2 linked regions of the Oryzias latipes genome follow. Each later gene encodes a partner of the first gene's protein in a complex. Links are inferred from orthologs where the notes say so. Each region holds a gene or a part of one and is shown on either strand. Other genes may lie near its edges.

Region 1 (3,756 bases):
CAAATTCTTTTGCTGCTGGATGTTTTATTACTCATCCATCTTCTAAACCCTTTTGTCCTTTTCTGGCTTTTCTGCTGGAGCCTATCCTGGCAACTTGTGGGCGAAGGCAGGGAACATCCCTGACAAGTCGCCATTCTGTCGCAGGGTCACCCAAATCAAACACCCATGAACACTCACATTCCCACCTACATGCTTCATTAGTGAAAGTTTAATCACTAAACTTGTTAAAAAGTTTAAAATGTCTGCACTTCAAGAGACAAACTATCTTTATCCAGTCTACAACCATGGTAAGACTTCCCTCTTTACACCTCACACCTCCCTAGGAAGCCTAGGAGGAGGAAAAAGGTAAAGCAAAAAAAAAAAAAAAAAGAAGGATAAAGAAATCGAAGAATTAGATGAAATTAGGAAGTAAGGGTACGAAAAAAATAAATTAGCTAAGAGATTTATATTACATTAACATTTATTCTAAAAAAGGCTCCCTGCCTTCTCTGGATCATTCAATTTCTTCAACTTCATTTCAGGAAACACTGTCATTTCAGGAGACACTGTCCAACTGACCTGGTCATTCACTTTGCACTAACACAGGTAAGATGGATGTTTTTGCAAATCCTATGTGTACCTGTCTGTGTGCACAAGAAAATACCAGTTGGTGTGATTTGTGACTTAAGTCCTCTATAATTCCTGTTAATTTGTACTTAATACTTGTAAGTAGTTGTGTGGATACCGTGTGACGGTGCGTATGTGTCAAGGTAATTAACAAATGCGTTAATAATTATTGTAATAATCCATAATAAACCCATTGTGACCCGCATTCCACACCTGTAGGTGGCGGTAACGCGCCTTTACGCGGTATGCCTTCCGCCATCAAACTACAAAGGAAGAAGAACAAGGGGGGATGGCTCAGAGCGCGATGACGTCATAGACACCAGTCACGTGCCCGTCTTGCGACGCTCAATGTCATCCTACACGCTTAATTTCGTAAGTTTTTTCTTTTCTTTTCTTTAACTTATAGCGCAGGTAGTTGAAACATTTAAAAACTAGCATGCAGAAGATTACGCAGAGGACACTTTCAAACTGCTCCCGCCGGCTTCTCTGTCCCGCAACGTTTCAGCAGAAATGTGGAGGTAAGGGATTGATGCTTATGCTAACATGCTAAAAACATGTAACGTGCTAATGATGTAACTTTGACTTAAGTAACTTTGACTCACTTAATGATGTGTTCTGCATACATATAACGTCGGTGTTATGGTTGTCTATGCCACGTTTTACACAAACAGAACTGTTAGTTAATACGATTCTGGTTCCTTTGGTCCAGAGTCTCCCCACTGTTTGACGCCCATTGTTGCCCTAGTACTGCAGCTGTGAATTGTAACAGGTTATGACTTTTATTTTGTTATTATTTTTTTAATCAGCGTCCCTGCAGTTCGGCGCGCGCGCCTATAGCGTTGTTCCAACGCCTCGCGACAAGGAGGAGAAGGAAATGGTCCACCGCATCTTGCGCGTGGACCATGCTGGGGAATTTGGTGCGAACCGCATTTACGCGGGCCAGATGGCAGTGTTGGGCCGTTCAAAGATCGGACCTCTCATCCAGGTATCGAACACTCACGGCACGAGACACGTTTGAACGGGAGGGGGCGGGGACATCAAAGATGAACACGTGGTTTGTTTAATTAAATGTCAATCCACCTCAAATACGCAGTACAACCCCAGAGAAATTCCAAAAACAATTGATCTAAATCAGAAATAAATATATAAATTCTATTAAACTTAAAATGAACCTTTTAAAAAAGTTTACCCTGAATTATGTGAGACAAACACTTGAAGACTGCTGGGCAGAGGGATCTTGGCTGCAGAAGCCCTTGACTGAAGATTTCCCATTCTAACAGCAGACCTGCGTTACAGCAGAGCTGTGGAAACGCTCAGTGTTATCTAAGTTGTTCTCCATATCCCAAAATAATCTTCATCAGAAGTTCAGATATGGAAGTCATCAATACCTCAGATATGCAGTTGGAGAGCACGTCTATCCAACCAACCATTATCTTGAACCACTGTATCTCTTTTGGGGTCACTGTTGGGTGACCCACTGGACAGGTCGCCAGTCTGTTGCAGGGCCACACAATCACTTCCACACACACTCGCACATGTAGGGACAATGCAGGGTAACCACTCAACCTATGAAGCACGTTTTTGGACGTATAAAGTATAAACCTCAGAGCCTCAGAGATCGAGTTGTCTTAAATAACTGATATTTCATGATATTATCTATATTATCATATATGTGAATATAGTTTACTCTGAAAGGCTTAAGAAAAGCATGATATTGGCCCTTTTAAGTCTCTTCATAAAGCTGGGTTTGTTTTTCTGACATTTAAAAAATGTCAAAAGATTAAAAAAAAAAAACATCTGCTCACGCATTCTTTCAGCTGTATCCTTTTTGCTGTCTGTTTTTCTTTAGCAAATGTGGGATCAAGAAAAGAAGCACTTGGCAAAATTCAATGAAATTCTTTCAGAGAACAGAGTTCGTCCCACAGCACTGCTGCCTTTCTGGAACATTGCGGGGTTTGTATTAGGTCAGTAGAGTCCATAAGCATGCATGTTTCAGATGAAGAAATGACAGAATAATGCTCCGTTTTATAGAAATCCAGTTTACAACATTTACAACGATGCTTTGGACATGTATGTGACCCATGTTTAATCCTTAAGGGGCCTCTACTGCGCTGTTGGGAAAGGAAGGAGCTATGGCCTGCACTGTGGCCGTGGAGGAGAGTATTTCTGAACACTACAACAGCCAGATAAGAGTTCTCATGGAGAAGGACCCAGAGCGGTACACTGAGCTGCTGCAGGTGAGCGGTGAACTTCTGTAGCAGAAAAATAGACAGGCCTATTTTCAGCGATGTTAGCATCTAGCAGCCAAACGGGCTGTTCTGGAGTCCATGTAGTGATTATGTAGAAGAAACTGCCGGTAGCTATAAGCTATTCACTCGGAGTGGTACACACCCAAAAATAAGACAAAACTGTGCCTGTGTGACCAAGTTTCCATCCTTATTTAGAGCTGTGACGGTGTGGGATTTTTGATCACCGCGGTGATGAACCAGCAGGGGGCGCGGTGTCGCGGTCAAAACAGGACTAGCAGAAAAGTAAATTATCCGCAAAGATGCATGTGTTCAATGTGTTTATTAAAGTTCCAATCACGCACCATATGCAGAACTTAAAAAAAATAAAAATAAAAGTGCTATGATGAGGTCATCACCGCGGTGATGTGGTGATGTTATCGTCACACCCCCATCCTTATTGCATTTTAGTTTTCTGAAGTTAAATCAGAGTTCATCTTGGATCGAAAACAAACCATTTTATTTATAGGTTTCCATGTTTTGTCAGATGAACTGCAGTTTTTTCCCTCTCACTGCCCCATGCAGAGGAGCCAGTAGTAGGGGGTCCTGGACCTGGAACATTCGCTCTTTAAAACAAAACTGGGACACAAAGTTAGTACAAACAAGTGATGCTGATGTGACTTCCTTGGTTTATAGGGTGTAATGATTTATTTGAACAACAATCTGATTCATAAAATAATTTGTGGGCATTGAAATGATTCAAAATCAATATTGGTTCATTTTGTGTACAAGTAAACAAATCACATTTTAGTTTTCCTAAAGCTCAGACCCGCTGTTGTTTTTCCAAATCAAAATAATCCAAATTATGAGAACATTCTAGAACACTGTATGGTCACATGTCTTTGCTAAAGGACTGGAATGATGG
Region 2 (3,432 bases), on another chromosome or scaffold:
ACATTCCTGTCATTTATTTCATTTCCCCAGAAATGTTCATGAAAACTATAAATGGCACATGAAGCCAGCTGCTGCATTTGAAACCACACTAACAGGAACACATGTTCACACCTGTCAGCTGGCATTCAGTCATGAGTTTAGACCTCACGTAATGCTCTACTCCTGACTGCAGTTATGTGCAGCACGCGACCTCTTCTGTTTTACTTCCCCCAAAATATTTCCTTTGGCGGTGATGCTTGGAAAAACCTAAAGGAATTGTTGAAATTCCTGGAAAGTATTTCAACTTTGCAGTGACAGCATAGAACACCATGATAAGTGGTACAAATGACTCAATCCTGTAGAAATCGGACATTTCAAGGCAGCAATTACATTTTTTTAAATTTATGTTGTATTATTTCGGTTTTCATGTGCCGCTCTGCAAACTCAGACATGGTTGCAGTCCTTGGAGAAACCACAGGTCACCTCGCTCTCGTCAGCCTCAGGGACAGAATGAGAAATGACCCTGAAGGCCTCACGATCCTAACGTAAGTCCCTCTTATCTCAGTCTTTCAAAGTTTAAAGATATCTTCCTGTTGAGTGAACAGGCATGGATTATGTCCTGATGTGATCTGAAATGATTCTCCAGAGAAAGACCACGGATTCGTCTCTCCACTCTAGACCTGAAAAACATGGCCTCCTTACCCGACGGGTCTTTCGGAAGAGAATATCTCCGTTTTCTGGAGGACAATGTGAGCGATGGCCTTGGCGTCAAACACTGTGTTGATGCTTCTCTTGTTACGTCTTGGCTTCATGTTTTGCTTTCATCTGTACCGTTTCCATCACAGAGCGTGACCCCAGACTCCAGAACACAGGTGAGGTTTGTGGACGATGAAGAGTTGGCCTACGTCATGCTAAGATACAGAGAGGTTCATGACTTGATGCACACGTTGCTGGGAATGCCCACGAATATGCTGGGTGAGTCTGCTCTGCAAAAAAACATGTCATGAGACGATGAAGATCTACAACACCTTTTTAGTTGCATTTCATTTTTAGAAAGCGGATAACTGATTATTAGTCAGCTAGATTCATGTGATTGAGCACAGATTTGCTCACTTCTGTTTTCCTCCATAAATTTCACATAAATTGATGCGCTTGGCAAAGCAGGACTTATTATATTTGTTGCTTACTGATTCCTCTTTCGTATGTTTCTTTCATTATAGGTGAGGTGGTAGTGAAATGGTTTGAAGCGGCACAGACGGGTCTTCCGATGTGTGCTTTGGGAGCTGTGTTGGGCCCACTTCGACTTAATGCAAGGTATCTATACAGCATTGGACCATGCCATCATATCCCATCCAACTGTATTGTAAGCACTTTAAAAACAACTTCATTGTGTCCAGACCGCCACAAAACGACATGAAAACCAGACCAAACCAAATCAAACATAGGACAAATAAAATGCAAGAATTTATGACAAAATGAGATCAAATTAATAAAATGCCCATTTAAAAGCTAAATAAAAGACTTGGGTTACAGGAGAAGACCTGAAAGCAGAAAGATAAGGTTTTTTCTGATCCAGAGTAACTTTTATTGTGGGAGTTAAACAGTCAGTCTGATAAGAGCAGCTGACCTCAGGGGGGGAGCAGGAACACTAAAAGAGTAGCAGCTCTGTGAGGTAAGTACGGTAGTTGCCTAACCATTTATTGATTTAAAAGTGAATAAAATAAGCCCATAACTACTGGGCAGCCAGTGGAATGACGCTAAAATAGAAAAAAACCTATTCTTGCTTTTGTGTGCTAGTTAAAAAACGTGCATGTACTTGCACTTTGTACCAAATGCAGTAAATATCTATGACCTCAGTTGGAAAGTCCAATGTTTGCACAACAAAATGCGTTTTGCCTTTTCATACAGACTAAGAGTCAGTTTGATCTGCATCGGTCATTTTAACACTTTAAGATTTAAGACATGTCGACACAGCAACAAATTCATTTATTTTTAATGCTAATAAAGGATTTCAAATCTTTTGATGTCAACATATCAAACGAAGTAATATAAATTTTTTAAATTGTTATTGAGGGCAGTTGTAAGTGACAGAGATGTCCCAGCATCCTTTGCATTGTCGAGAATAATGCAAACCTGATGAAAAAAAAATGTAATTGAATAAAGTTTTCTAATTTTTTGGCTACAGATCCTTCTTTTTCCAAATGTTCATCATAGTAAGAGGAAGTTAGTTTTATTTTACCTGTAAATCATTACGTTTTCCTCAGTTACAATAGGAGTGTCCCTGATAAACTGGTTATGTTGTGGAAACAAACTCACTGTTGGTTTTAACTGCCATGTCAGGACTAAGCTGTATTTCCTGCTTTTCATTTGTTTATTTTTTACTTTCCAGGCGTCTACAATCACTGTTCACCTCTTTGGGTCCTTGGGCTTTGCGGAACGGGAGGAGAGGCCGTTGTGTCCTCAGCATTTTCTACGAGAGACGATGGGATCAGAACCTTGAGGATCTCCGGCAGGAGCTCCACATTGAGCCTCCTCCTGCCACGCTCCACCCATCAAGGAAGACCTGAAATAACTTAGGGAAATGGGGGCTGACATTTAAAGATAGCATAGAGGAACGTTAGTGGCTACTGATCGGAAATAGTTTGAGTATGTTGCCGTGGGAGTTTTTTTTATAAGGATGTAATTAATTGGAGAGGAAGTACGGTAGGAAACTCTAGTCTTTGCTAATTCTGGCTTGTTCCAGCTCAAGCCCTAGTTTGTCCCCATAACCTTTGATCTGGTGAATCACCAACTGTGAATCATGTCAGTATAATGCATCATGTGGTTTAAATAAAATATGATAAATTATTTAAAAGGTGCCCTTCTTTTTCTCATTTGCAGGTGAAAACCACCTACAATCTTAATGTGATGCAATCTAAATGAACTAATTAAGTTGGAGTGAAACCAAATGAAACCCAAATGCAGTATACAAATGTGTAATTTGACTAGAATAGCACTGATAGTTGGGTAAATGTTTTTCTCTTCAAAAGAACAAGTCTAGGCTCAAACGTTTCCATATTTTTCTGGCTTCATATTTCATTGAGAAATGACAATATCTATTACATTCATGAAGGGTTTTGTACACTAAAGGTAACATTTTAAATATCTCAAAGCTTGACAAATGAACTACAGAATTAGAATTATCGATGTGTTGGGAACAGGTCTCGCTATGACAGTGTTCAAGTACCAAAATATTTGAACTCAGAAACTACAGATTTTAATAAGGATTAGTCTTTGAATTATGTTTTTATATAGCAATATTTCATTTGGCTTTGCTTTCACATTAGATGGACTTCCTGACACATCCATCCCTTTTGTAAACCCACTTACTCGCTTTTTGGTTCATAGAGCTGCTGGAGCCTATCCTAGTTACTGTTGGGCAAAGGCGGGATACACTGTGTACATATTACCAGT

The links. The genes of interacting proteins can lie anywhere in the genome.
Region 2: coq7 (region 1) and coq4 share a complex: the UniProt entries of both Homo sapiens proteins name them as parts of the multi-subunit COQ enzyme complex. The link is inferred for Oryzias latipes from reciprocal best matches to the Homo sapiens genes COQ7 and COQ4.

Annotation. Positions count from the first base shown.
Region 1 is NC_019859.2:30,577,066-30,580,821, reverse strand, and holds the start of coq7 (5-demethoxyubiquinone hydroxylase, mitochondrial), read left to right. Parts: upstream 1-905; 5' UTR 906-954; coding exon of another isoform or gene 955-978; 5' UTR 979-1,042; coding exon 1,043-1,124; intron 1,125-1,412; coding exon 1,413-1,591; intron 1,592-2,455; coding exon 2,456-2,570; intron 2,571-2,703; coding exon 2,704-2,843; intron 2,844-3,756. UniProt on the Homo sapiens protein: Catalyzes the hydroxylation of the 5-methoxy-2-methyl-3-(all-trans-polyprenyl)benzoquinone at the C6 position and participates in the biosynthesis of ubiquinone.
Region 2 is NC_019870.2:12,291,843-12,295,274, forward strand, and holds the end of coq4 (ubiquinone biosynthesis protein COQ4 homolog, mitochondrial), read left to right. Parts: intron 1-427; coding exon 428-524; intron 525-625; coding exon 626-728; intron 729-824; coding exon 825-954; intron 955-1,199; coding exon 1,200-1,293; intron 1,294-2,368; coding exon 2,369-2,546; 3' UTR 2,547-2,833; downstream 2,834-3,432. UniProt on the Homo sapiens protein: Lyase that catalyzes the C1-decarboxylation of 4-hydroxy-3-methoxy-5-(all-trans-decaprenyl)benzoic acid into 2-methoxy-6-(all-trans-decaprenyl)phenol during ubiquinone biosynthesis.